7 linked regions of the Xenopus tropicalis genome follow. The protein of the gene in region 1 interacts with the protein of each later gene in a pairwise test. Links are inferred from orthologs where the notes say so. Each region holds a gene or a part of one and is shown in the gene's direction. Other genes may lie near its edges. The genes, in order: hoxa1, ccn3, slit1, chrd.1, mgat5b, rgs17 and nell2.

Evidence for each region.
Region 2: the proteins of hoxa1 (region 1) and ccn3 interact in binary tests that used the Homo sapiens proteins (3 or more experiments, as listed by UniProt). The link is inferred for Xenopus tropicalis from reciprocal best matches to the Homo sapiens genes HOXA1 and CCN3.
Region 3: the proteins of hoxa1 (region 1) and slit1 interact in binary tests that used the Homo sapiens proteins (3 or more experiments, as listed by UniProt). The link is inferred for Xenopus tropicalis from reciprocal best matches to the Homo sapiens genes HOXA1 and SLIT1.
Region 4: the proteins of hoxa1 (region 1) and chrd.1 interact in binary tests that used the Homo sapiens proteins (3 or more experiments, as listed by UniProt). The link is inferred for Xenopus tropicalis from reciprocal best matches to the Homo sapiens genes HOXA1 and CHRD.
Region 5: the proteins of hoxa1 (region 1) and mgat5b interact in a two-hybrid assay, tested with the Homo sapiens proteins (2 studies listed by BioGRID). The two-hybrid records come from large-scale screens. The link is inferred for Xenopus tropicalis from reciprocal best matches to the Homo sapiens genes HOXA1 and MGAT5B.
Region 6: the proteins of hoxa1 (region 1) and rgs17 interact in binary tests that used the Homo sapiens proteins (3 or more experiments, as listed by UniProt). The two-hybrid records come from large-scale screens. The link is inferred for Xenopus tropicalis from reciprocal best matches to the Homo sapiens genes HOXA1 and RGS17.
Region 7: the proteins of hoxa1 (region 1) and nell2 interact in binary tests that used the Homo sapiens proteins (3 or more experiments, as listed by UniProt). The link is inferred for Xenopus tropicalis from reciprocal best matches to the Homo sapiens genes HOXA1 and NELL2.

What each region holds. Positions count from the first base shown.
Region 1 is NC_030682.2:42,135,125-42,139,372, reverse strand, and holds hoxa1 (homeobox protein Hox-A1), read left to right. Parts: upstream 1-1,333; 5' UTR 1,334-1,375; coding exon 1,376-1,991; intron 1,992-2,316; coding exon 2,317-2,672; 3' UTR 2,673-3,478; downstream 3,479-4,248. UniProt on the Homo sapiens protein: Sequence-specific transcription factor. Regulates multiple developmental processes including brainstem, inner and outer ear, abducens nerve and cardiovascular development and morphogenesis as well as cognition and behavior.
Region 2 is NC_030682.2:138,162,752-138,167,171, forward strand, and holds the start of ccn3 (CCN family member 3), read left to right. Parts: upstream 1-1,558; 5' UTR 1,559-1,599; coding exon 1,600-1,644; intron 1,645-2,622; coding exon 2,623-2,842; intron 2,843-3,518; coding exon 3,519-3,770; intron 3,771-4,420. UniProt on the Homo sapiens protein: Immediate-early protein playing a role in various cellular processes including proliferation, adhesion, migration, differentiation and survival. Acts by binding to integrins or membrane receptors such as NOTCH1.
Region 3 is NC_030683.2:32,333,685-32,337,585, reverse strand, and holds the end of slit1 (slit homolog 1 protein precursor), read left to right. Parts: intron 1-1,202; coding exon 1,203-1,441; 3' UTR 1,442-3,571; downstream 3,572-3,901. UniProt on the Homo sapiens protein: Thought to act as molecular guidance cue in cellular migration, and function appears to be mediated by interaction with roundabout homolog receptors.
Region 4 is NC_030681.2:99,616,208-99,620,794, forward strand, and holds the start of chrd.1 (chordin), read left to right. Parts: upstream 1-1,406; 5' UTR 1,407-1,873; coding exon 1,874-1,997; intron 1,998-4,539; coding exon 4,540-4,587. UniProt on the Homo sapiens protein: Dorsalizing factor. Key developmental protein that dorsalizes early vertebrate embryonic tissues by binding to ventralizing TGF-beta family bone morphogenetic proteins (BMPs) and sequestering them in latent complexes.
Region 5 is NC_030686.2:45,623,234-45,627,134, forward strand, and holds part of mgat5b (alpha-1,6-mannosylglycoprotein 6-beta-N-acetylglucosaminyltransferase B), read left to right. Parts: intron 1-998; coding exon 999-1,073; intron 1,074-1,752; coding exon 1,753-2,015; intron 2,016-3,446; coding exon 3,447-3,645; 3' UTR 3,646-3,901. UniProt on the Homo sapiens protein: Glycosyltransferase that acts on alpha-linked mannose of N-glycans and O-mannosyl glycans.
Region 6 is NC_030681.2:42,988,527-42,992,435, reverse strand, and holds the end of rgs17 (regulator of G-protein signaling 17), read left to right. Parts: intron 1-2,007; coding exon 2,008-2,196; 3' UTR 2,197-3,063; downstream 3,064-3,909. UniProt on the Homo sapiens protein: Regulates G protein-coupled receptor signaling cascades, including signaling via muscarinic acetylcholine receptor CHRM2 and dopamine receptor DRD2.
Region 7 is NC_030679.2:64,114,616-64,119,110, forward strand, and holds the start of nell2 (protein kinase C-binding protein NELL2 precursor), read left to right. Parts: upstream 1-1,682; 5' UTR 1,683-2,305; coding exon 2,306-2,354; intron 2,355-2,658; coding exon 2,659-2,787; intron 2,788-4,495. UniProt on the Homo sapiens protein: Plays multiple roles in neural tissues, regulates neuronal proliferation, survival, differentiation, polarization, as well as axon guidance and synaptic functions.

The sequences.
Region 1 (4,248 bases):
TGCTACCTGACAATCTACAATGTTACTACAGCCCTGTGCACTAAAATATGAAGTACAATCAACATTGTGACCACACATTTTTGACAGGACTATGCACATACAATAATCTTTGTCCAGATGATTTTGCTGTAGTGCCCAAGGGATTATTGTACAACCAAAGGAGAAGAAGCCAGAGCTTTCCATGACAAACTCGTTATTACCATGGTAATATTGACTGTTCTATCCTCTGTACTAAAGAAGTGAGGCGTGGCTGCTAGTGACCAGCTGTACATATAGAGCCTGCCTATGCTTTGCTCTGGCATTGAATGGGTTAAGGAAGATTCCCAGATATAGTGTAAAAATGCACGGTGTGATCAGTCGGACAAGTGTAGAGCAAATCAATGAGAGGATCAATCAGTCTTCAAAGACCAGCAATAAATGTAGAACTACACTTATGCATAGACACACACAAAGCTGAACCCTACCTATGTGCATGTTTGTTCATTTTTGTGTACAGTGCAATTGTCCGATATTGTGTACTATCTATCTATCTATCATCATCTATCTACCTATCTGTAATTATCTATCTCTATCTAGTGTCTGCCTGTCTGCCTCTCTATCTACAAGATACACTTATCCAAAACAGGAATGCATGGACACACACAAAGCTGAACTACAGGTATCTGCATATTTGTTCCTATTCCGTGTACACTGCAATTGTCCTATATTGTCTTACATACACTGTCTATCTATCTATCTATCTATCTATCTATCTATCTATCTATCTATATCTATCTATCTATCATCTATCTATCTATCTATCTATCTATCTATCTATCTATCTATCTATCTATCTATATATCATCTATCTATCTATCTATCTATCTATCTATCTATCATCTATCATCTATCTAAAACAGAAATGCTTAGACTCACACCCACTACACACTACAGTGTCTCTCACTAATACCCATACCTGTGTATTTTTAGACACCCACTGACACACAGTTGTATCCCCAAATCCCCCTGACCAATCACTATTTGCTCCTTACCGGGTTAGGGGGTTCTTCGGGTGCCCCCGGCTCTGACATCTGCACTGTGGCGGTTCCCGGGTAGAGAGGACTGTGCGACTTGGCCGCTGCTCTCTCAGTGCACTGTACTCCCAGCCGTGTGCGTCACCTGGATAGAGCAGCGCCTGGAATTTAAATGCAAGTGTAGGGCCGATCCATCACCAGTTAGTGTAGGCAAACTTTATCTGTCGCTGCTGCCATTGGCTGGCCTCTCCACGTGACCTGCCCTCACTGTACATTCATATGATTTTGTGCTGGACCTATGGAGGAAGTGAGAAAGTTGGCACGGCCACGCCAGGCTCTGTGTCACAGTCACCTAGTGATAGATGGACTATGCGAGGATGAGCTCCTTCCTAGAGTACCCGGGCTTAATGAGCGGCGACCTCGGGACCTGCTCCTCCAGATCCTTCCACCCCGACCATGGAATTACAACTTTCCAGTCGTGCGCAGTCAGTGCTAATAACTGCAACAGCGATGATCGTTTTGTGGTCGGACGAGGGGTGCAGATAAGTTCTCACCCCCATCACCACCACCACCAAGCCGGTGCCTTTCAGCACCACAACAACCTGGGGATGTCTTATACTCATACCAGCTGTGGCTCCAACTATGGCATGCAGAACTTCAGCCCCGGCTACTCTCATTTCCCCATCAATCAAGAGGCAGATGTGAGCGCAGGGTTCCCCCAATCTGTCTACTCCGGCAACATCGCTTCGTCTGTGGTCCAGCATCACCAACACCAGTCTTACATCGAAGGATCCGCTCACTATATCCACCATTCCTACGGACCTGACCAGAACATTTCTGTGGCCAATTACAATAACAATGTATCCAGCCTACATATCAGCCAGAGAGAAGTTTGCCGGTCTCCTTCCAGCGAAACATCCCCGGGCCCTGCACAGACCTTTGACTGGATGAAAGTAAAGAGAAACCCACCCAAAACAGGTAATGTCTACCCTTTCTACACCCACTTACTCTATTAAGGCGCCCTTGTTTTATCAAGTAAATCTTTATCTATCATCTATCTATCTATCTATCTATCTATCTATCTATCTATCTATCTATCTATCATCATGATCATGATCTATTATTCTTTATGTTGATGTTGCCCTATAAGTTAGTGGGTGGGGGTACAAATGGAATGTAACAGTTTGTGACTGTATAATACAGTCAGTAACGGTAGAAAAGGCACCCCCATAACACTGGGGTTGTTGGCTGCTACATTTCTCACATTCCATATGGATTATAACCCTGACTTTTTTTATTTCAGGTAAAGCTGGGGAATATGGCTTTGCCGGCCAGCCCAACACAGCCAGGACCAACTTCACCACCAAACAGCTGACAGAACTAGAGAAAGAATTTCATTTCAACAAGTACTTGACCAGGGCCCGCAGGGTAGAAATTGCTGCTGCTCTACAGCTCAATGAGACCCAAGTAAAAATCTGGTTCCAGAACAGGAGGATGAAACAGAAAAAAAGGGAAAAAGAAGGACTTCTCCCCATCTCCCCATCAGCCAGTACAGGAAGCGATGAAAAGTCAGAGGAGCTGTCAGAAAAGTCCAATTCTTCACCCTGTGCTCCATCTCCTGCCTCCTCTACTTCAGATCATCTCAGTACTTCCGGTTAGAAGGCTGAAGGCATTGCCTGTGCTCGATTGATCAACCAAAGCCTTAGCAGTGATTTTAGTTGTCTATTGTTTATGCCAGAATTTCAGCTGGTACCATTAAGATTATATTTTTGCACAAGTTTGAAAAGTCATTTTCGTTTTGAGCTAAAATACCCAAGTTAACTAAAACCTGTTTTGGCATGTGTCACACTAACTGTCTCTTGCTATGAGCTGCTATGGACAATCCATATGAGGGACATTCCTGCTGGGACTTTTTACTGGGAAATCACTGGTTGCAGATCCTCAAGGACTGATGCACTACTAATAGAGAAAAAGTTTACACAAGTTAAAAGACTTCTATTTAATTTAAAGTTCTATGGTGTCTGTATGTGAAAAGAGTGTACATATATTGTTCCAGAGATTTATCTTTCAAGTGTTTTTGTAGAAATTCTAATAATTATCAGATGGTGGAGTGGTTGGAAGAATCTCAAAGTTTTCTAGCACAGGAAAAGACAGCAGTGTTTGCTGACCGCATACCTCAGTAATCTCTCACATTTACTAGGTGTTTACAGTCATGATTTTAGGTGAATATTGTGTGTTTTGTTTGTCAGGAAATCGTGCTAGATCGTCCAGTATCCAGGGTATTTATCCAAACAAAACCACTCGTTCTCTGATCCAAGAGAAACGCTTCTAAATCGCCTTTAAGTGAATGTCTTGTAAGACCAAATGTGTGTATAATTTGTGATTCCATCGCGAACCCTTGCATGACACCGAATGTAAACTGAGTTTTATCAGTTGGAATTTGTCAATAAAACATTTGTATGCTACCTCTGACTAAACTAGTGTGCATTTTATTGGGCAGCATGTAAAAGGTTAAAGAATTTCCATCAAAACCAGGAGGTCTTGTAGATGAGGGTCCCAGGGCAAAAAAGTTGTAATTCATAATCACAACAAACGCAAAAATTGCGTCTCCCGGCAGAGCGAATTTAACTCTTTGCGCCAACGTTTCGTTTTTATTCGTTTTGCGCCATTTTTATGGGTTCTCCACTATCTCCTGTCTAACAACTGTAGAAACACCTTGGGTCAAGCTCAGCTGAACTTTTCACCCCAAACTCACTACTGACATGTGTAAACACTGGTGCCTGACAAAAATGCCAGACGCTTCTTCAACCAGTCTTTCCTCACCTCCTCCCCTATAAACACAAAGCTTCACATCTTTGGGAGGCTCGAGGGATATATTTTCAGTTTCTCATCCCACCCCCTCAATAATAAGAACATTATTCTGAAATCTATCTAATCCCCTGTCGTAAAGTACTTATTAAATTATTACTGTACTTGTTAGTGCATTGCGATGTGACGCTGGAACGAATTAGTAAATTGCAGAATTTGCGGGCAGAATGACGCTGATACTAATGGCGCTATTTAAAGTGGATGCAGCTAAACTTCAAAGTAAATGCAGAACTTTCTTTCATTCTTCCACTTCTGCTGTTTTTTTTTGTTTGTTGGAGTTAGAGGCAAGGCACAACCAGATGGCTCCGCATACTGTACTTTTATGTGTTAAATGCAATCTGCATATCAGCAGGATCTCGCTGCTATC
Region 2 (4,420 bases), about 96 Mb from region 1:
ATCAGGCCATGTGGTGCAAATTCTTTAAATCTAGCCCTGAGGCCAGGCCTTGGTAGTAGGGTTGCCACCTGGCCAGTATTTCACCAGCCTAACCAATAAAATAGCAGCCAGGGCTGGGGCCAGTAGTAGTTGTAGTTGCTGGTAAATTTGTAATAACTTGTCTTCCACCCTTCCTATCCCTTCGACAAGCTTATTTTCTAGCCTTCCTTGCTCCCTATATCCCCTTAAATGTGGTCCACCATCATGCCCTGCCCCCCAATTAGATCACAATCCTGCCCTGACATCAAGGAACCGCCCCATTATGGACCCAGCCCCCACCCTGACTGGTAAGAACATTGACAAAAGATGGCAACACTACTTGGTGGCCTTCCCACAAATCCAGGGCTAGGTGTTTAGATCACCATGACATGAGTTGCCAGAACCTGTGAATGTTTTTGGGCAATAATCAGACTTGGGCTTTGCTGTGAATAGGAAGTTTATTCATTTGTACAATATGGGGCAATTGGCATTGTTTTATCATCTGCAGTGAGTAAGGGATCAGGAGGCCAAGGAGGTGCATTTGTTTGTCAGGCTTTTTAACGCAGCGGAAAAACGCCTAAGGCGAACCCAAATTGCGAACATCGCGAAAAGTTTGCGAACTTCCAAACTTGCGAACACCCGATGTTCGTGCCAATTAGTTCGCCGGCGAATGGTTCGCTACATCTCTTGTTAAGATCGCCGGATCTTCTCCCGATATCCCCACCTACGGGTGGGCAATATTGGGAAAATGTAGGCGAAACAATTGAATTATAAAGGGAGCAATGGGCACACTTGGTTCGGGACCGCATCAATGAACCGATACGGTCCCCGATCCGACTAAATCTTTTAACCTGGCCAATCGATATCTGGCCAATTTCAGGCAGATATTGGTCGGGCATGCCCCTCGTTCCTGCCCCTACACAGGCCGATAAGCTGCCGATTCTGTCTAAGGGACCCATATCAGCAGCTACTATCGGCCCGTGTATGGGGACCTTAAGAATAGGACTAGAGGGCCCTACTAACAAGAGCTTACAATCTAAAGGGTTAATACAGGGAAAACCATGCCGAGGCAGATATCACCCTAGGGTTTGTTGGGCAGCCTGGCCAGTCCATTTGCTTAGGAATAAAGGTTACAGTAAGAGCTGGCCGCAGAGCTGACATCAGTACACATTGTGGCTGTGTATCCCCTTCAGACTTTGCTAGACGTCTGGGGCTGCATTCCTCATACGTACATGACTAATTGGTTCCTCTGACACAAAATGCTTTCATGATCACAGACAGAATTCCTCTGCTATTTGGCTGCAATCGCTTTCCATGAATGCAGCGCAAATACCATTCAGCAGGTGAGGGTTATGTCGCCATCTAGCGGCCACTGAGCGCAATTACCTCTCAAATGGAAACGCTGGGTCCATGAGCTCCGCAGAAATGTACTTGGTACCGCCCAGTTCCGGAGCCTCAGCCAATAGGGTTTCTGCAGGATTAGCAGCCAGTCTATATATGGGCAGGCAGAGCCACTGAGTGTCATTCACACAAACTGACAGTGAGTGGAAGTTCCCTGCTTGTACCACTGCTCTGGCAATCATGACTCCCTGCCTGGCTCTCTGCTTCATCCTCCTCCTACAACAAGTAAGTGCCATTTTATTGCTTTTCTCTATATGAGCTTGCATGTTCCTTTTAATGGGGATCTTTGCATTAAGAACATGGAATTCTAAGCAACTTTCTGAAGTTAATGAAATATTTTCAGTGGTTTTGCATTTTTATGCCAATGTAATTGCACAGTATCTGCCTGGCAGTTTGTAGTCGCTGCATTGCTGGTTCTGACTGCTGAAACAATGTAGCAGACCTGGAGGAGAACTGACTTCTGCATCATAACTTCAAGAGTCAGAACCAGGAGTGCAGGAAGGCACAGACAGTTGTTTTGCTCTTGGTTAATTAGTACTTTGGTTCTTTGTATTTTTTAATGATTTATATTTGTAATATGTCTCTCAGCCTGAAACTGCTACCTGGGTTTGAAGGGGAACTAAACCTGTTCTCTCAACTCAAAATTAAAGTGGAAGGAGAGGCACCACCCTATAACATATAATGTCTCTCCCCTGACCATAGCCACTTACTGTTTCATTGAGTACTGCAAGCCTGTTGGACCTGGCAGAGGAGTAGTCTCTCTATGTTGGCAGCTGTTGTTGTGGGGCACTGCCAGCTCTGATGGGCAGCACCTCTATATTAGCACTGCCTCCAACTCAAGAGCTTACAGTGAGCACACACTGCCCTGAAGCCTGTAGATCACCCAACCGTGCCAATATTGTGTCGGGGGGGTACCAGATTGCCCTTGTGCCAGGGGCATTTTTATGAACAACCAGTTTGCAGGCCCCCATCAAAGGGCAAGGCAAGGGGAAGCAGCTTTTAAATATAACTCCTTATAACTTCCTACTCCTGTAAGACCCAAATAAGTTATTTAGGTGAATTTCCCCTTTAAAGAACACAAAGCCAAGGCTGATTTGCTCCCTGGGATTCTGGTACCCAATGACAGTTTATCCTATTAGAGCTTGAGCGTTACAGGTCAGCTGTTATGCATATTATTTATTTGTGTTTCATGGAATTGTACAGGTGGCGTCACAGAGATGCCCGTCCCAGTGTGACCAGTGTCCTGAGGAACCACCCAGCTGCGCCCCCTCCGTGCCACTCGTACTAGATGGTTGTGCCTGCTGCCCAGTGTGTGCCCGGCAGGAGGGAGAGAGCTGCTCTGAGATGCACCCCTGCCAAGAGGACAAAGGGCTTTACTGTGAATTCAATGCAGACCCGAGGACAGAGGCTGGCATCTGCATGGGTAAGCTGGGCACAATGGGCAACAAGCCTGGGAAAACTCTGCTACTTTAATATTATTATTTTTATTATTAACATTTATTTATAAAGCACCAACATATGCCGCAGCGCTGTACAATAAGTGGGTTTCATACATTGGACATACAGAGTAACATATAAATCAATCGATAACCGATACAAGAGGTGAAGAGGGCCCTGACCAAAAGAGCTTACAATCTACAAGTAAAGCACCAACATATCCTGCAGCGCTGTACAATAAGTGGGTTTCATACATTGGACATACAGAGTAACATATAAAGCAATCAATAACCGATACAAGAGGTGAAGAGAGCCCTGCCCAAAAGAGCTTACAATCTACAAGGAGAAAGGGTTGAGACACAAGGTGTGGGAACGTGTCATACCATGTTATAACATGTGGCCAGGTTAATAAAGAGAATATATACCTGGAATAGGGTTAGCACTAATGGATTTCCCCTTAGCTAAACTATAGAATATCAGGGCCTATGTGCACAGAATAAGCCTTCTCTGTATATTTCCATGTATACACATGAGAGGTACAGGGTGCACAGACAGTGTATATATTGGGATCAAACTATACCCCAGGCATGGGGGAAACTGAATGCACTGTCTGTCCCTGTTTATCCTCTCAGTAAGCGCTTGTTTCTCTGCTTATAAATCAGCTCTGGAAGGCAACAACTGCATCTTTGATGGGGTGGTGTATCGCAACAGAGCGACCTTCCAGCCCAGCTGTAAATACCATTGTACTTGCCTGAACGGCCACATTGGCTGCGTGCCCCGCTGTAACCTCGACTTGATGCTCCCTGGCCCCGACTGCCCTTTCCCAAGGAGGGTGAAGGTGCCCGGCGAATGCTGCGAGAAGTGGGTTTGTGATTCCAAAGAGGAGATGGCGATCGGTGGCTTTGCCATGGCCGGTGAGTCTCGCATCTTTTCTTATTTGTAACACAAAGTGGTGTCACTATTTCCCAAAAAATATGGGTCTGCCCCATCCCAAGGGGTTTAGGCACCATTGCCCTTTGTTGCCCTTATACTGAAGGAATGGTGTTAGGGGGCGGCTAAAGACAATGTTGGGGATCAAGGCACAGTGCAGCCTGGCACAAGGGAGCCCTTTCATTTACACCTGAATGGGCAGTAACTCGGGGTTCCCTTTGTATATTGCACCTATAGGCGCCAAGTGGGTCTCACAGAACCTCTCTAATTTATACAGCAAACTTAAGGACACCCACCTTGGCACCCCTGCAACTAATAATTCACCTAACCTGCACCAGGTTTTGCACCATATTGGTGAATTAGATATAAATTGTGTTTGGTGCAGCTGTTGTAAATGAGCCCTAATGCTGGGCTGTTTTGAAATGTAAAAAAAACATTTGTTCATTATGCAAAGTCCTAGGACCTTCAAACCAGCCAATCAAATGGTCACTCCATGGGGGGGGGGTGCATTTTGTAGCACCAGGCTTATTGTGGGTGAGACATTATAAATGTAGACAGTGGGTAAAAGACCAAAAATCTGATGAAGCCTGGTCCCAGTTCTATGAAATTCCTTGTCCTAGTCCTGGCTAAATGT
Region 3 (3,901 bases), on another chromosome or scaffold:
CAAGAGTCCAGGGATAGACTTTCCAAGGTAGGCATTTGGCCTTGTAGTAACCCCACAGATCAGTGGCTAAGTTATGTGGAGCACAAGCGCTCTACCTCCTTCCTCAACCTACCTGGCCCTCAGTGACCTTGCTGGGTCCCAAATAATGAAACAATCCTTAATTCTTTAATTTTGGTAAAAAAAGAAAGCAGTAACTAAAAACAGGATGAATGTGCTTCTCTTGGACTAGACTAAAGGGGTGGGTTGTTCAGTAGAATATGTACACACCCTGAGGCATACCTTCTAAAGACAAATAAGCCACACATGGACACAACTAATAACATTTCATTCATGAAACACTATAACTTAACTGTTGCTTTGTAAATGGCACATTCTTTGGTTTCCTGTCAGATAGTTCCTGCTAAACCTGTTTATTCACATAAAGGGCCAGACTAGATTTGATTTGTAAATAATTGCCTTATGGGGGAAGACTGGAACTGAATTAAAAGATTTTTTTTCTCTCATTGAAGTCATTGTGGGCCAACGTTTTCCCCGGTACTGAAAACCATAGCAACCTACTGGCTGTAAAATTGTTTTGTGGGTTTAATGCAATGCAATGATATCCAGTATCATTGAGAGCCAGTTTGAGTTATTGGACTGGGGGAAAACTTTGGGTATACTACTATAACCCCTTAAATATACAAAGCAGCCACTTCATCATAGCAGCAGGGCTCGAACTAGTGTTAGGGAATAGAGGCAGCCGCCATGGAAAGTGTGTGGGGCTGTGGTCTGGGGTAGCAATTGAAAGGGGGGGTCTGTTATGGTGAGCAGGTATGGGGCAAAAGGTACTTGTTTTGGTGGATTCTGTGGAATCTGGCAAATACTAGAGGGGCTGCTGTAAGATGCCATAGACAGTCACTATTTATTGGGCCTGTGGGGGGTGGTTTGGGCCTCTGTGTACTTGAAATGCCAGGGCCTATTTGCACCCTAGTCCGGGCCTGGTCTTGGGCAACCGTACCTCTTTGCTCTGCATATGATTTTTCTGGTTTGCAAGGCCCCAAAGTCTGTGTGTGTTTGGTCGTAATGTCAGAGAAAAGTTGTTGTTTGGGGCATATTCCCATATAAGAATTTTTGTGTCTGAGCCCATGAATGTCCCCCAATAGATCCTTTCACTCCACTTGTTCCTTAAATCACATCTTTTATCAGTGTATTTTCACTTGTAGAATCGGAATGCCGAGGGGAGCCCGTGCGGGATTATTACCAAGTACAGCGAGGCTATGCCATTTGCCAAACCACACGCACCGTGTCCTGGGTGGAATGCCGTGGTTCCTGCCACAATCAGGGCTGCTGCACTGGATTACGCATGAAGCGCCGGAAGTACACTTTCGAGTGCAGCGACGGATCCTCCTTTGTGGAAGATGTAGAGAAACCCATTAAATGTGGGTGTGCTCAGTGTGTGTAAAACACGTTGAACTGGACTGTACAAGATCACACCAGACAAAAAGAAAATATCCAAGAATAAACCTGGACAATTACATTCTGTAAAACTGGACTTCTGCTCCCCTTTCAGATGCGTGAATATCTTGATGTCTGTGGCATTTAAAAAAAATATATGTATAAACAGCACCTATTGCATTAAGAGGCACACGCACATGCTGACTGGTTGTATAGTGTTGTAATCATTGGAGAAAAGGTATAGAGGAGGTATATATGTAGAGGGTAAAATGTGTAGATAGAGATTTTTTTAAAAAAACACACAAATGTATTTATACACAATGTGGATAGATTTACATGGAACAAGAAGGAAGGTCTGTATTTTATTTTTCCATTTTTTTAAGGTAGATCATTTTGTAACCATTGTGGCAGTATTACATCTGTTTTGTATAGCTCAGAGCGTTCGACAAGTATTCTTTTCTGATCTGTCATTTCTGCTGGGGAAAAAAAAACCCATTGTGACGAGGGGCACATCACTTTCATAAAGCACTTTCTGCTCAGTGAAAAGGGATTGACTAATGTGATTTTATATTTATAAGCCTTTTTTTTCTTCTACCCCTAAATATCATTATCAGCTAGGCTTCCCTATGAGCCAACACAGGAAAATCCGGCTGCAAGTTATAAATATTATATATAAAAATCGTACATACAATTCACTAACAGCAGCAAAGCAGTTTTAAGGGAGATGATAGTAGGGGCAATGTTTAGGGCCTTACAGATGTGGGGGCCCATACAGGTGTTGTGGGTAGGAAGAGAAAGACATGATTTGGGGAATGATAGAAAAGCAAGATGGAAACAACAGGGGTCATTTACTTTTCCCTGGGGCGCAAGTGGAGGGCAAATGCTAGAGTACTTGTTGGGGGGGCAAGTGCTAGAGCACTAAGGGGTGCCAAGACATGCCCTTAGAGTTGCCACCTGGTAGCTAACTGGCTGAGGGGGTAAATCACTAGCTAGGGCCAGCACTGGTAAATTTGTAATACCCTATAAATCCCATCCCTTTCCTCATCATTATCTCCGCTGCTGATCAGTCTTAATTATCACACCCGCCGCCCCCCCCACCCCTCACCCCCTCACCAATGCAGCACTGCTGAATGTAGTCGGCCATGTATTTGCTGGTGTAGCACCACTAATAACACTTGTGTTGCCACACTTGCAGACCTTTAGGCCCACATTACACAAGGCGTTTTTGATCCACTTCCTTCTGCCCCAACATCACTGTTCACTGCCAACCATGGAATCAATCACTTAGTGGACAGACAGTGTCATGGCCGTTGGTGCACATTAGTGTTGTGGTGGGAGAACGCTGATCGGAGTTTTATTCCGGGAGAGAAAACACCTATTGTGAGTTGGCCCTTAGTTTTCAGATGGTTCTGGCAATAGCTGAAGGCCCATCAGACAGACAATACTATTATATAAACAATATACAGTCTGTATTACCCCGGGGCCCCTCTTATACTAAGGGCAGCCCTGCTTAGGGTACTGGCACATGGGGAGATGTCACCTGTGGGCAACAAATCTCCTAAAAATACTTTCCCGTTTACTTACCTTCTTTTGCATTTTCCCGTGATTAGGCCTCATTGCTAAGGCAGCCCGTGGTAGCGCAGATTACTTTGGGTGACAGATCACTCAATGTGCCAGTACCCATAGCATTCCTCACTGTCACTCTATAGAGTAAAGCCTGCTTATATGGACTATTAAAGAAGACCGTAGGGCACTTTGCTAACATTACCTTTCTATTAGCTCCACAAATTCCATGAGAAACAGCATTAAGGAGAGACTAATGGGGCCCTAATGCTAAAGTACTGGTTGGTCTCACAAAATATATCTGACCTTGTTGTTCTATTCACAGGTTTCTATGTTGACAAAATTAAACAGCTTGTGTTCTTTTCAAACAAACTGGGGGGGTCCCTTTTGCAGGCCTCACTTTGTCTAGAGATCAAGGAGAACTGCCCCCCCAGCAAACCAGAATATTTTTTCATTGGTACCATTTAATAAAACTTTTTATATTATTTGTTAATGTTGCAACTTGCCCTTTCAAACAACAAATATTTTAGCATTATTGTCCCTTTAACATTATTAAAATGTAAATTTAATTCTGCTTTTGCTCAAGTGTATTATATATAGAGCTGGCTGGGATGTATTGTGTTTTTCCCTGGCAAAGGGAAACTGAAATACATATTGCTTTATACAAAAGAGCCACTAGTAACATTCATACAGGTGAGTAATGGTGACAGAGTGTATCCAAACTAAACAAAAAGGAAGTTATACTTTAGCGAGGGAATGGGACATGTAACAATGCGGCCACAATGTGCACCAATCACACAAGCGTCTGACATAGTTATAGCTTTCTGTACAATCCTGACCTATAACATTGTTCCATAAATATCATTAGGATTACCACCTGTCTGTTTCGACCTGGACAGTCTTG
Region 4 (4,587 bases), on another chromosome or scaffold:
CTCGCAGACTGACTTTGCTTCAGTACCCTAATGGCCACCTACTCTTCAATTCCTACTAACTTCTCAAGCTACAATTAATTATGAATGCTTTAATGTGAATAAAACTAACATGAATTAGCAAATGTTGAATGAAATCTCTGAACTGGACAGATTATGTAATGGAATTGGTTATTTTGCTCCATATTTCCTTGTATTTGGCAACACGTATTTAATAATATATACTATTCAGTAAGGTTTATTGGTTTAAAAAGAGAAAAAGGCATTTTTTACAGTAACAACCAGAAAGAACTTTAATGTATAGTTTAGAGGGGCTGCTCAGGCCTGGTACAGCAACAATATGTGTGTGCTACACTAGCCTGTTTTTTTCACCTCCCTTATTTTTAAGTTGAAGCCCTCACACATACAGTATAATATCCATAAGCACATAAGAGTCTTCCCTATAACTGTTCTTTTAGTCCTTTTTATTACTTATTTTTTATTGCCAGAGCATTTTCTATTTCATATGATCTTTATCTTACATCTCCCTCTCCTGGTTTTCCTTCCCCATGCTTCTGTCCTTTACAGTAAATTCCCTCATCTTTCTGGAATCTTTACAGAATGTTCTGTAGAGCTGTTGCTCTGCCCCTTAACCCATATTGCTTTATTTCTGATTCTCCATTTGCTCAGTTTTCCTCTTATCCAGAATTTCTCTATGTGCTCATCTTGTGCACTAAATCTAAATGTATGTATCACACTCTTCATCCAACTTTTTGTTATCTGTATCACACCCACTTCTGCCCCTCTTGTCCCTTTCAGTAACACTGTCTGCTTTACTTCTCCTACTTGTCAGTCATTCTGCTCTATTTCTCCTTTTTTTGTACTACTCTCTCAGTCTGCTTCACATATGCTTTTCTGTATTACTTTCTCTGCTCCTCTTCTCATTTTCTGTAATTTTATAACTCTCTCCCTCTGCTTCTCTTTTCCCATTACATAACATACTCTCTCTTCTCCACTCTTCACTTTCTTGCAACTATCTCCCTGGGCAACATCCCTTTTTCTGAATCACACTCTCTACTTCAATTCTGACTTTCAATATCACCCCTGATCCACTTCTCCCTCTTTGCATATTCTGCCTGATATCTCCCTCTCTATATTAATATGCCTCCCCTAATACTTCTATCCCCCCATTTTATTTCCATGCCATACTGATTATTCCCCAAATCTTGTCAAATTCTATGTAGCTTTCCCACATGCAATTATCTGCATGTCCCCCACTTCTGTCTCTCTCTCTGTATCCCTCTTTCTCTCCATTTGTGCTCATCCTCTTCCCTCTCTCCTGGGTGGGTCCAGGCTGAGTCAGGATGCTGTGTCTGAGTGTGTCGGGTTAGGGGGTAGTCGAGAGCTCCCGCTGCTCCCCGCTGGGCTATTCAATGCTGTTAAGAGACACTTTCCTTGGGCAGAGACCCCGCTGAGCGACTCATCAACTCCCAGAGTGAGTGCAATATACTTCGGCAAAATTGGAAAGGGGGCCGGGTGGGGGGCTTTGTTTGCTCGCTGTGCCCCCGCCTATAAATCCTGCGCTAGTCCCACTGAGCCATCAGAAGACTCATCGGACACTGGACAGAACTGTCCCCTCCGGACATTGGTACCTGCTGTGCAGAAGTGACTGGTCCGGATAGCAGAGAGCGCTCTATTCACTACTGGAGTGTGTGTGGCGCAGTGTTGCCTGTTGGCACAAGGGAAGGGTACATAGCACATGTACCGGGGATGTGACCCAGAGAGCCAGAGACAAGTAACAGTTTGCTGGGTATAGTGCAGGGCATATACACTAAACGGTCACTATACAATCCTCAACTCTTTGGACTCACTGAGCTTGCTCGGGGCTACCACAAAAATGCTTTGTTCCCCCATCTTACTTCTGTGGACCCTGTGGATTATGGCTGTGGATTGCTCTCGCCCAAAGGTTTTCCTGCCCATTCAGCCTGAACAGGAGCCCCTCCAATCTAAGACACCAGCAGGTGAGTGACAATTGGGTGACGGTAGTTATTGGGGGGCTGCAGTTCTACTGCAGGGAGTACATTGTATTAATTGGGGTTCTTAAACCTCAGTTGTAGCAGCTAGGGCAGTCATCAGTAGTAACCCTAATTTCTTAGGATGCCACATTAGTAGTGCCCAGGGCAGTGATCAGTAGTAACCCTAAATCCTTAGGATGCCACATTAGTAGTGCCCAGGGCAGTGATCAGTAGTAACCCTAAATCCTTAGGATGCCACATTAGTAGTGCCCAGGGCAGTGATCAGTAGTAACCCTAAATCCTTAGGATGCCACATTAGTAGTGCCCAGGGCAGTGATCAGTAGTAACCCTAAATCCTTAGGATGCCACATTAGTAGTGCCCAGGGCAGTGATCAGTAGTATGCCTAAATCCTTAGGATGCCACATTAGTAGTGCCCAGACATATCCATTCGCACAACCTGCCCATCAGCTGCGGTTGTATAGCGGCACCCAGCAGCAGCCTATCTTTATCACACGGTGATGCAGAGATTTGTAGTTAAACAGCAGCAGAAGGGTCGCAGGTTGGACATGCCTGCCATAAAGAGTTACAACAAGAGGTTGGATTCCTCCCAACACGAACGGGAGGTTCAGTAAGTGTCAGTGACCTTGGGGGTCAGGCAGTTTCCCGCTGAAGTTTTGTGAGGAGAAGAAGCAGAGCTGTTATTGGAGCGAAGCAGAGCTTAGAGCAGACTTAGGGAATGTGCTGTCACACTAATCGCTCCCATAGGAAGAGATTTGCTTATTAGTTGCTATGAGGGAATGTTTATGTAACTCAGCCCATTACACAGAGCTCTTCAGCTGCCAGAGTTCTGCTCAGTCATGTCCCAGATGGATATTTGGGGTTCTGGACATGAAACCTCACAGTGTATATCCCCCCCCCCATCAATTGTACACTCAGTGTAACCCCACCAAACTGCCCTTGTCTGCACCACTGCCCTTATCATTCCCTTCTGTTATACAGAAAGGATAGTCAATTTTATAAAAGCAGCAAGGCAATGGCTTTCTTGTTAGTCATACTGTGACTATATATTCTTCCTCATGCTTTCTGCATAGCATGCACTGATTCTCCATCTTGTTCATGTACACTTTTGCCATCATTCATGTTTTCTGTCAGTCTGAGGCCTTCCATTTGTTGTACTACAATTCCCAGCAGCTCCTGAAAACATTTGTAAGGGCAAATTCAAAAGACAATTTTACATTAAATACAGGACACTTCTACACCTTTCCATGCTCCCCCATGCATATTTTTAAGGTGCTCCACAAGTTGTGGTATGGTGGCCAACCTACATGGAAGATTAAATGCTTAACTTAGAAAACATAGATGTCAATTAGCCTTTCCCTGCATGTCACAGGGCATACCCATTTGTTTACAGACTCTTTTTCCCTGGTATGTTCTTAGTAATTTACATGTTACTGATTTATTTTACTCATGTTTTTTCAGTCAGCATGTGTTGATGTTAACATTCCTGTGTGTTCTACCTACAAATTGCATGCATTGAGCAACGTGTGATGTGCAGGTTGCTTTGCGTGCTGTCACACATCTCCTAGTTTCTCCCACATGCTCAAGCAGATGTTCTCAGGGGGCTGATGAATTTGCTTGTTTGTTTCTTTCCAAACTATTGCCTGTTGCTGACATAAGTGTTGCATGTTTTTCTGCAGGCTGTGGCATGTGCATGCTATGTTTGTTTTGCTGTGCATGGTGTTGTAGGGGTTAGTGGGAACTGTTTGTGTGATTCGGTTGGAGCAACATTTTGTTTTTTTGTCTGGTTACGGTACCTCAGAGGCAGCGTCTGGCTCGGGTATAGTCTCTTCACACTCCCAGAACTTCTGCCAGAAATCAGCAAAATACAGAGCGGCCAACAGCTGCACCAACCTCACTTTAATATCTTCCAGAAGGGAGAGGACTTAGCTTAATGCTCTGCATTTTGGGGTTGTTGTATGGGGCCTTCTTTGGCATGTAGACACTATTCTCATTGGATCCAGTCTATATGCTCTTCAGTGGAATCCTTTCACCATTTGCTGGGTTTTGAGGGATCTAATCTTTTTCGTTTCGTTTTGGTTACAATTTATGTAGTTCTCTGAGGAAATAAATGTTAGTTGTGTTACTTAGATGGATCTAAGGATTATTATTATTCATATTGTTATTATATGTTTTCTTCTTTGCAACATTGTTGCTGCATTTGATAATGGAAGGCATGGCTGTTTAACTGGAGGTGGGGAGGTGTAATCTGCCTTCTGCACTGAAAAAGTTAGAAAGCAGTAAGGGATCCATTTGCAGAACATTAATTCACCTTGTGTCCTCAGATGTTACAGGACTACAACTGCTAACAGTCAGATCCAGTCATGCCATGTAATGCTATGTGAAATTCATTCACTACATGCTCTTGGGTTTGCAGCCATTATGTACACCATTCTCAAGGGCTTTTTTTTGTGAGAACTGCTCTGAGAGGGTCATTGACTAGGAAAACTAATCCAGGGGACTGTGTCTAATCTTTTTTTTATATTTCAGGTTGTACGTTTGGTGGAAAATTTTACTCTCTGGAGGATTCATGGCATC
Region 5 (3,901 bases), on another chromosome or scaffold:
TAGGATCACACTATGTGACTTGGATATTGCACTATGATATGGGATCTATATTCCCTGGACTGGGATTTTAAATAGGCCCTGGCATTCCCAGTACCCAGAGGCCCAAACAGCCCCCCAGCCCAATAAATAGTGAGTGTCTATGGCACCTTACAGCAGCCCCTCTGGCATTTGCCTGAACCCACAGATTGCCAGTCTGGGCCTGGGTCCTGGCATTCCAAGTACCCAGAGGCCCAAACAGCCCCCCAGCCCAATAAATAGTGGACTATGGCACCTTACAGCAGCCCCCTCTGGCATTTGCCTGAACCCACAGATTGCCAGTCTGGGCCTGGGTCCTGGCATTCCCAGTACCCAGAGGCACAAACAGCCCCCCCAGCCCAATAAATAGTGACTGACTATGGCACCTTACAGCAGCCCCTCTGGCATTTGCCTGAACCCACAGATTGCCAGTCTGGGCCTGGGTCCTGGCATTCCCAGTACCCAGAGGCCCAAACAGCACCCCCAGCCCAATAAATAGTGACTATGGCACCTTACAGCAGCCCCTCTGGCATTTGCCTGAACCCACAGATTGCCAGTCTGGGCCTGGGTCCTGGCATTCCAAGTACCCAGAGGCCCAAACAGCCCCCCAGCCCAATAAATAGTGACTGTCTATGGCACCTTACAGCAGCCCCTCTGGCATTTGCCTGAACCCACAGATTGCCAGTCTGGGCCTGGGTCCTGGCATTCCAAGTACCCAGAGGCCCAAACAGCCCCCCCAGCCCAATAAATAGTGACTATGGCACCTTACAGCAGCCCCTCTGGCATTTGCCTGAACCCACAGATTGCCAGTCTGGGCCTGGGTCCTGGCATTCCCAGTACCCAGAGGCACAAACAGCCCCCCCAGCCCAATAAATAGTGAGTGTCTATGGCACCTTACAGCAGCCCCTCTGGCATTTGCCTGAACCCACAGATTGCCAGTCCGGGCCAGCTCTATAACACACCTAACTCACCATTTCCCATAGGTGGAGCCCTACTTACCGTACGAATACACTAGCGAGGGAATGCTGCAGAGACTCCATGCTTACATTCAGCATCAGGTAAGTGTCTTCTACATTTGATATAGCAGTGAAAGCTGAGAAGAGGGGTTCAGAAATTAAGATGGACCAATGTTTGGATACTGGGGAAGGGTCCCTAGCTCATCAGAGGTTAAAGGCATTTATTTTTAGTTGGGGTCTACAAATAAATGGATTGAAGTTATCCTATCATCTATCTATCTATCTATCATCATCTATCTATCTATCTATCTGTCTCTGCTTGTCGTGATTAGGACATCAGTTTAGTCACATGGCAAGAATCTTATATGCAATTGGCTGCATCAGTTAAGCTGAAGAACTGCTTCCTCTGTGGTGGAGGATGCGCCTTTTGCTAAACCCATTGAGGGCCCCGTGATTTTGTGGTTCTAGCGGCTGTCGTGCCAGCTCTTGGCTTCCCTTAGTGTCAGGCATCTAACACTTCTACAGGGTAATATAATAAATGGCACAGTTTGCCCAGGTGTATTCACCCATAGCAACCAAACATCTGACCTGTAAATGCTACCTGCATATTTGTTGCTATTGGTTACAAGACTAGTAGCAAACTATGCACCTTTTGTTAAATCTCCCCCAGAGTATCTTGCATTTTTCCTTATTTTCCTTTCCACTGCTTTACTGTCCCCTTCTTTTCTCTCTTTCTCCCACATTTCTCCTATTTTTTTCTATTCTGTACATTCCTCCTCAGGAGTTTTGCTCACCCTCTATGTCCTCCCCCTATTCCATAAATGGGTCCCAAGGCCTTCACACCCCTCCCTTGCTCCTCGTTAATCACACACACCTGGTGTGGCCCCCGAACGTACCCCTTCCCCATATCTGGCCCCCAGTCACTTCCATGCAGGTTTGGCTGTCGGAAGAAGGGGAATCCTGCACCAATGCATGCTGGGAGCGCAATCTAGTCTGTGAGCCGAGTTTCTTCATCTTCATCAACCAGCAACGCTTACTAGAGCAGTGAGTATACAATGGCGCTGCCAGGCTGGGTGCCCAGTCTGCGGTCGGCTTGGCTTCTGTAAATTCAATATATCAGGGTTCCCACCTACATATTATGGCAGGCAGGGATAGACGGACATTCTGTTCCCTGTACGTTCCTTTACACCAGCTGTTCTGTGTAGCCAAGACTCAGTTACACAATGATCCAATAAATAATTGATTCAATTGCTCGGATGCCTGAGTATCAAATCTGGATCTTGCTCTGAACACGTACTGCCAGTTTCGAGGCACCATGTAAATTTAATTGGTTTTCCATAAAACAGACAATACGAGTGTAGCTTATTCAGTGCATAGCACTTTCCTTCTCTGTATATTTGTATTTATACATATGGGTAGGAGGTGCCATAGTGTTTCCCTTAGACAGTACAGTATGGGGGTACAGCTTATTGTGTGCCCAGAACATTCCTTCTCTGTATATTTGTATTTATACATATGGGTAGGGGGTGCCATAGTGTTTCCCTTAGACAGTACAGTATAGGGGTACAGCTTATTCAGTGCATAGCACTTTCCTTCTCTGTATATTTGTATTTATACATATGGGTAGGAGGTGCCATAGTGTTTCCCTTAGACAGTACAGTATGGGGGTACAGCTTATTGTGTGCCCAGAACATTCCTTCTCTGTATATTTGTATTTATACATATGGGTAGGGGGTGCCATAGTGTTTCCCTTAGACAGTACAGTATGGGGTACAGCTTATTGTGTGCCCAGAACATTCCTTCTCTGTATATTTGTATTTATACATATGGGTAGGGGGTGCCATAGTGTTTCCCTTAGACAGTACAGTATGGGGGTACAGCTTATTGTGTGCCCAGAACATTCCTTCTCTGTATATTTGTATTTATACATATGGGTAGGAGGTGCCATAGTGTTTCCCTTAGACAGTACAGTATGGGGGTACAGCTTATTGTGTGCCCAGAACATTCCTTCTCTGTATATTTGTATTTATACATATGGGTAGGGGGTGCCATAGTGTTTCCCTTAGACAGTACAGTATGGGGGTACAGCTTATTGTGTGCCCAGAACATTCCTTCTCTGTATATTTGTATTTATACATATGGGTAGGAGGTGCCATAGTGTTTCCCTTAGACAGTACAGTATGGGGGTACAGCTTATTGTGTGCCCAGAACATTCCTTCTCTGTATATTTGTATTTATACATATGGGTAGGGGGTGCCATAGTGTTTCCCTTAGACAGTACAGTATAGGGGTACAGCTTATTGTGTGCCCAGAACATTCCTTCTCTGTATATTTGTATTTATACATATGGGTAGGAGGTGCCATATTGTTACCCTGAAGATGGTGCCAGTAGGACATGATGGTGGCAGCAGCAGCTCTCTTTCCCAGTTGTTGTTAAAATCCAACTCCCAGAGACAACTTTTCTGTTTCCCGTAGGTTGGGTGCTCTGTGTGACAGCACCGAGTCCGTGATGAGCCACCTCTACCCAGCGGTGTCCCTGGCGGTCCGTGAATGTTACCTGCAGAGGGAGCCACTGCTGTTCAGCTGTTCCGGGCATAGTAACAAATTTCGACGACTGTGCCCCTGCAGAGACTATCAGCCTGGACAAGTAGCCTTGTGTCGGGATTGCTCTTGAGCCAAGCACTATGTGCCACTGTCGTACTGCCGACGGCCATCGGAGTGAGCACAGCATGGAAACATTCTGCACCCTTAATAGTTTTCTACTCAATCCCATTAGCTGCTGTGTCCCAGCCCTGGGGTTTTATGCTGCAGCATATGGCAATACTAAGCACTGACCTTACAGGCACATGGTGAACACAAGCCACATCCTTCTGGTGATCCTTCATCTTCCCTTGTTGGCCTCAATGGCTTTCTACAATTAAAAGCACAAT
Region 6 (3,909 bases), on another chromosome or scaffold:
TTTCCTTTGAAACCAGCCTAAAATGTTTGACTTTGAACCAGGACCACATTAGTCACATTTGCTTTTTAAGGATCTCAGTTAGAGGTCATTATATCTATACTTGGACATGTTCCTTTTCCTCTCTATGTTTTCTTATAAGAGAAAATAATAAGCACCAGAGAAATTAAAACAATAGATGATCAGACACTGTCCAATCACCTTGTCTTTTATAACTGTGAGTAAGCAACACAGCACCGTGAGATACACAAGGGTGTATAGCAGAGGTAGAGAAAGACTTTATTACCTCACCAGGGACCCAGAAAATGCAGAGATTAAGGAGAAATTTCCGTTTGATCTGGGTTAAGGGAAATGTAGACGGCATGGAATATTATGACTTCATAAGTGATAAATATGATTTTGTTTTATTTAAAAAAGCAGTACATTTTATAGCATGGCCAAAAGCCAGCCCATGTATATATATCTTTTATGCTCTTGGCAGTGTGTCAATATGCCATGAAGCTGACTTACACATTTCTTTTAAAGTTCTCTTATCTTTTCACTAAACTAAAATATCCCCAAGCATATCAAAATACTTTTATAGAGTAATAAAAAAACAAGTAGTAATCGAAAAACTTTGATACAAAGCCTATCTGCTATATGTTTAGGAAATGGAAGAGTAACTATGGTGTTATGCTGGGAAGGTGGAAAGCAATGTCCTAAGCAAAAAAAATTGAACATTTGGCTGAATTTAGTGTTAATCAAGAAGGGATTGTCATTACAAAAGTGTTTTCCTACCAATGATTATTAGAATAACCAGCATGAACAATTGGAATCAAAGACATTGGAATCAAACCTGTTGGTTATAGCAAGCCTTGCTAAAATAAAATGATCCAGTTGGGAAAGTCAGAAAACATGAGTTTATTTTGCATAAGATTGTCAGGTTTATCAAAAATGTTAAGTTCGACTTTTTCTAAGGTTTTTTTTCCAATTCGTAAAAATGTAAAATCTCAAGTCTGTGCTCCTTTAGTAAAACACTTGAATCTTAAAAAATGTGGAAATTGTGAAAAAAAAAAAACTGGAACGTGGTAAAATCACATTCTACTAAATTCTGAATTAGTCTTGAAAACTTTAATTGAAAAATAGCTTGCTAATACAATTCCTAATGACTTTTATTTTTGAGTTTTTGTGCATAATAAATTTCGAAAATTCACGCTTCAGGACCTCGAATTTGTGATTTTTGCCCCAAAAAATAGGATTGCAGTAAAAAGTCAAATTCAGGTGCTCCTTAGACTCTTTTGTAATAAAGGCAAACAGAATATTTGCAAATGTGCCTGCAAACACAAATAAATGGCTACATTCTTGCACCAAAAGTATTCTATCCATAATTCAGTTTTTACACTGTCTTTAGGGAAAAGGCATAAGAACAGGTTTCCATTTGTAAATGATGACTTTATGCTATGTGAGAAATCTTGGAAATCATTTTTATTTAGTCTTATGACACACAGGGTGTTTTATTGGATAGACGTCTTTAAGCCAATATTGTTACAGACATTAAACTAAGGGGAAGCTTTATAAACATTCAAATTCAAGTTTTTATTGCAATTTAAGATTTTTGCAACAAAAACATAAATTCAAATTTGGGTTTCCAAAACTTGATGCTCAAAAACACAAACAGAAAAAGAAGCTTGTGAGTTCATGTAGACGTCAATGGGAGTTGGAGCAAACTTATTTGAGTTTTTGAGATTCATTTAAAATGTGGCACATTAAAAGGTATTATGGGATTTAGCATTTTTTCATGGTTTTATATCAAGTTTTTGAAATTCCATTTTTTAATATATTAGCACACATTCAAGCTTTTTGAGTTTTCCTGAATTAGGAAAAAAAACTCAAAAATTTGATTTGTGAACAGTTGGCCTTCCCATGTACTGATATTGCCATGAAAACACGGAAAAGGAAAACAAAATACTATACATGCCCAGTGAAACTGTACACTAGCAATCAATAACTTGCTCATTTTCATGCCTACAGGTCAGCCTCGACTCTAGAGTGCGTGAAGTGATCAACCGGAATTTGCTGGATCCTACCCCCCATATGTACGAAGATGCCCAGCTTCAGATCTATACATTGATGCACAGAGACTCTTTTCCAAGGTTTTTGAACTCACAAGTCTATAAGTCTCTTCTTGAAAGTACAGAAGGCTCAATCACTGAATCTTAGCTAAAACCTCTGGATAACATATCTTGTTTTCTTAACAGAACACATATGTAGTTTATTACCATCAGACACTGAGTTCCTGGAGAACTCCACTTGTGCACTACTCAGGCTACTGTGAAGAATAACTTTAAAAATTGTTTGGTCTCCGTCTCCATTTTTACAAGCTCTTCATCTTTGAGTTTGAAAAACAGCAACACTGGAATTGCCACATTTGTTTTCTATGCTATTTACTTGAGTATATCATTACAATGATATATTGGGTGGACTATGAACAGACTCCTTGTTTTATTTCATGTTGCATGTGCAAGGGTAATAGCTGTCCTCAACACACCAATTCATTGTTGCAATATATAGCCAATTGCATTAACGACGTAGTTACTGACATTTTATGTGCAATACAGTATTATGTTCAAATATTGAAATGAAACTTTGGCTTGATTTGTATTCCTTCAGATGGGCATTTTAGGATAATCCAATTTTCAATTAGATGGTGTTTTACAGTGGTATAAAGAGTGGATACTAACAAGCCAATACACAAACAAGCAAAGCTAATTATCCTTGTGTGGAGGAAATTAAAGTGGAATTTCCACGGATGTTCACTGCCAAACTGTGGCTCTCTTATATTTTTATTAATGAGTTTGCAATGTCAAATAAGCACAAGCAATCTAAAGGATACCTTGTATGGATGACCAAATATTTCAGCTGATATTGTTTATTGTTCTAGCAAAAAAAAAAAAACATATTTATGTACATTGTAAATGTAAGTAAAACTGGGCGACCGGTTTTAACATTGTTGTCTAGCATTATGTATTTCAGCAAAAAAAATAAAATAAAAATATTTATACTTTAATATTTCAAGAAAAATAGAAATGAAGATGTTTACCTATATGTAGCATTTGAAAACCTTTTGATGACACAGATGTCTTTTATTATGACTGAATGAGAACTACTTTTTTTTTGACAAAGAAACTTTAACTTTAAAAATAGCTACTTTGAAAATGTTGTAAAATATCAATCCTTCTACACATTTCTAAACATTCTTAGTAACAAGGATCTGTAGAAACCAGCATTACAACCAAACGTTATTCTTCGTATTGCTTTACGGTAGATTTTTTTATGGTTTTTAAATTGCTTTGAGTGTATATATAAAATATATACAGGTGTGGAATCTGTTATCCAGAATGCTCGGGACCTGAGGTTTTCCAGATAAGGGATCTCTCCGTAATTTGGATCTCCATAACTTAAGTATTGAATAAACCCAAAAGGCTTGTTTTGCCTCTAAAGATGAATTATATCTTAGTTGGGATCAAGTACAAGGTACTGTTTTATTATTAAAGAGAAAATAATTATTTGCTTACAATGGAGTCTATGGGAGATGGCCTTTCCGTATTTTGAAACGTTCAGGGTAACAGGTTTCCAGATAAGGGATCCTATACCTGTATATATATATATACATGCACACACACACATACACAACGTATATCTCCATTATCTCTATAAAAAAAGCAAAATTTGTTAAAAAATGATCACATCTTGCCAGATCTAACATCACAGTGACAGTAAAAATGCTTATTAAAGCTTAAACTGCATGATTTTCGGAGCGGCAAATCCAGCCTCACGGTTACAATTTTCTTTTAAAATTCTTGTTACTACCTCGGTATTATTTATTTTTGCTTTATTTATTCAGACTTTTTTTCAATTGTGTAATTTTTTTTT
Region 7 (4,495 bases), on another chromosome or scaffold:
AAAGAGAAATTTAGCCTCAAATCCCATTTTAGCCCTTACTGTACATCCCTCCCAATGTGCAAGAAAGCCCTAATAACAATACATCGTATCTATAACTGACTCAAAATATAGCTACCTGACTCTGTGCTGCAATGGTATCTTATAGCATGTTCCCAGGCTGAGATATGTACCTGGCTCTGCTCAATGGAATCTTCCAGCCTGTGCCCAGGTTGAGATATGTACCTGGCTCTGTGCTGCAATGGTTTCTTCCAGCCTGTGCAGAGATTGAGATATGTACCTGGCTCTGTGCTGCAATGGTATCTTATGGCCTGTGCCCAGGATGAGATATGCACCTGGCTCTGTGCAATGGTATTTTATGGCCTGTGCCCAGGTTGAGATATGTACCTGGCTCTGTGCTGCAATGGTTTCTTCCAGCCTGTGCAGATGTTGAGATATGTACCTGGCTCTGTGCTGCAATGGTTTCTTCCAGCCTGTACCCAGGTTGAGATATGTACCTGGCTCTGTGCTGCAATGGTTTCTTCCTGCCTGTGCCAAGATTCAGATATGTACCTGCCTCTGTGCTGCAATGGTATCTTCCAGTGGGAGGACACTGGGGGGGAGCTGGAGGATGTTGGGGAAGATGCTGGGAAGGACACTGGGGGGAGCTGGAGGATGCTGGGTGGGATGCTGAGGGGGGAGCTGGAGGATGCTGGGGGGAGCTGGAGGATGTTGGGGAGGATGCTTAGGTGAGCTGGAGGATGTTGTGGGTAGCTGGAGGATGTTGGAGAGGATGCTGGAGGGGAGCTGGATGATGCTGGGGACGAGCTGGAGGATGCTGGGACGAGCTGGAGGATGTTGGGGAGGATGCTGGGGGGAGCTCAAGAATGCTGGAGGGGAGGTGGAGGATGCTGGGGAGGGGAGCTGAGGATGCTAGGGGGGAGCGGGAGGAAGCAGTGGGGGAGCAGGAGGCAGCAGGGAGTGGGCCATAACATGAGGACACTGGAGGAGGACCAGCAATGTTTTAGGGGGACCCTGGCTACCAGTGTTTTATGGGAGGCCCCTGGCTACCAATGTACCGATTATCGTACAATTTTTTTCCGTACAATAATATCGGAGCATATATGGTCACCTTTAGACTGCCCATTTTTGTAGCCCAAAAGTTAAAACAATAAGGCAGGGAGTTTTTTTTTTTCGTTTAAGTTAATAATATGCTGATTTTCCAGAAGCTTTTACTAATGTACTGATCTATATAATTTTCTAACCTCATCCCCCCAAACCTTTATTATTTTCCTAAAACAAAATTGTATTCATTATAAAAGCAAATTAGTGTAAATCAGTTGGGAAAGTATGAGTTTATTGCAGAAAAATGAAATGTGCGGGGAGAATTAACAGTAGAAATGTGGATTAAAACATATACTTATTCAGTCATCACTGCAGATAAGCCTAAATACAGTGGATTACATGTTTAGTGGGGAAGCCCTGTAGTTAAACAGTAGAACTGAGAGCAATGATGTCAGCCTTGCTAAGGAGGATATACCTGTATATTTCATGAGGCTAAAATACTTCTCCATTAGGATGATCTGGAAACACATGGTATGTGGGACTGGGAAGAGAACTGAAGCACAAAGCTAAATCATATTGATAGTGCTCCACTAATCTTAATGTTCCCGTCTCCAGCCCCAGTCAGTACTGCGCATTCAGCTCTTTCCTAAACGAGCTTAAAAAGAACAGGGCAACGCGGCGCCTGGCACACCTAGTAATGTGAAGGGATGCCCATTTGTACCAATAAGCCCAGTCATTCACCCACCCCCATGCCAATCACTAGAGGACACAACCTGTGCCGCTGAGCAGTCGGATTCTGCCTGCAAAAACGCTCAGATCAGCTGCTGGAAGGGGCGCTTGTTCACTCCCTCAGAGAAAAGGGACAGTGGAGCCTGTGCCTCCCCCTCCCTCCTGAATCCCTGGAGTAGCAATTAGTGTGGCTCTCCGAGCAGCTCCGGCGGAGAGGAATATCCATTGTCTCTAACAGGTTCGGAGCGAGGATTTCCCTGTTCCCCAGATTCCCCTTTGCAGGCAGATCGTTCCCGAGTCCCCGAGTCCCTGCTGTGGGGTGGGTAGGGGTCGGACCGAGGCTGCCGCCGGGCACTTATTGGGCAGCCCTGCCTAGCTGGGTGCTGCTGGAGCTAATGATGCTAGCGCTGGGGATTCCAAGTTGCTGGCTCATCCGCTGGCTGCCTGTGCTGTTCTAGGAGGGAGCCCGGCACTCACAGCAGCGCTACACTAGCAGCAGGCACGGAGATTATGGACTAAGTGCATCGGTGCCAGAATGGAGTTTATATTGGGCATATTCTGCGTTATTTTCTGTCTCAGAGCAGGTAAGAGCTCTCCTTCTTTCCTTAGAAAGTTAAAGCCATCAGCTTTCTTTGCTGAGCTTACATTAGGGATGAAACTGATAGGAAAGGGGATGAGATTGGAATTTGAAGTTGAACATGTAAGTTTCTTGGGTATTGATTGATAAAGTAGGTCATATCAGTACCCTGAAGTGGATTCAGGTAACTGCAGTTATATTAGGTACCTAAACCGTTGAAAGATTAGATAGATAGATAGATAGATAGATAGATAGATAGATAGAATCCAATCTCACTCCCAGTAAATGGTGGTGCTATCTTTCTTGGCCAGGTGCAGGCTTTGGTGTGGACCCCTCCCTGCAGATAGACATCTTCGAGGACTTCCAACTGGGAGAGGCCACCCCTGGAGTGCAGCAGGTTCAAGGATTCCATAACCGGAGCAAAGCCTTCCTTTTTCAAGGTATTCCTTAGGGAACACTAAATCCTCTGTCTGTTACTAACCTCCTAGCATCCCATCCATCTGCAATATATGTCTTTCTGAGGGTGCAGGGATTTTAATTGTTCAACAACAGCTGGAGGGCCTCAAACAGCTGGACATGCCTGCTTTGGTTGGCCTTTGTCTGGCTATATATATATATATATATATATATATACACTGATAACTCATTACTGAGCATCTTTGTTCTCTCTGCCTGTTTGCTTCATCTCCCTCTTTCATAATTTGTGAAAATTGGATCTTTTTTTAATGAGGACCAGTTTAAAATGAAATAATGTGATGGTCAGATTGTGTAAAGTGCATAAGGGTATGTTTACAACAGAAATTATTGTGACACAGTGGAGAGGGGGTTTGCATGAACTAGAATTCCTTTTACAGTTTGGCAGAATCCCAGCATTTTTTTTTGCAAGATTCAGCAAAACCAAAAATGAAAGTCATTAAGGGACTTTATTGCTCTGGCCAAAGCAAGACTTCAAGTTTGCTCACATAATCTGTAGGTGACACAGATTTATGTTTTCATTGTTTGGGGCAATGGTCCAGATCTAAAAATAATAGATCTAGCACATCCTTCTGAAGTATGGCAACCAGTGGACAGATGTGCAGTGGTCCTTGTGGTACCGATTAGTATTGTTCAGGGCTGTGCAGTGGGGGTAGTGGTCAGGCTTTATCATACTCCTGTGTGCAAGAGGAACATTTGAGCAAATGAAGTGTTTGTGATCACAATTATTTCTAACTTTACAATTAGGGGATTGGTGACTTGCAGCTGAGCTGCTGAGCAGATGATCCTCCTTAGATTTGAGCTTTCTCCACTTAGTGTCAGTGTTCTTTTGCTAGAGGTTTGCTTTCCCACTGATTGATGGCCCCGTAATTAATGTACACCAGGACTAAGGCTGGCAGATGGTTGATTTGAGTCTGGGGATGCAATGAATAATAACACACGCTACCCTGATCAGCCAGAGAGATTAATGCTGCTGGGAACCTGTGACTTATGGAAAAAAAAAAAAAGATGGGTTACCGAAAGTTTCATCCTGTGTGCACAGAAAGGGAAAATCTGAAAATAATTCTGAAATAAAAGCGCTATTACAGTCCTAAAAGGGTAGTTAGCCTTAAAATTAATTGTAATATAGTGTAGACAATACTGTTCTAACATGATGTGCAATTAGTCCGTTTTTTGCGTTTTTCTTTTGTTTTGCAGCTTTCGTGCTTACCATTAAGATTGCTTTCTTGTTGCCAGGGCCATATTACCCTAATTATATTAAAGCTGAAGACTCAAGATCAATCTGTTTTTGCATTCTGGGGTCAGTGACCCTACAAGATTTATAACAGTTATAGTTGCATGCTAGAAGGAAGCAGATTAGAAACATACAATAAAAAAAATAAGACCAACTGAATAATTCTTTAGATTAGGTTCCTGTATAGCATATTAAGACTTAAGGTGAACCTTAACTTTGCATCCCGGATTTTGTCTAAACTGAAAAAACTATAACAATGAATACAACAGGCCCAGAAACATTTTTATGCAAGGTGAGCGTATGTTACATCCCTGTGTGCTGTAGGTACCCTGGACAAACATTAACGGTGTAGATTTAGGATTGTATTGCATTCCCTCAGTATGGGCTAAAATATCTTCCTCTGCAGCCCCACATTAGCATTTGTTCTTTTCAACATTTCT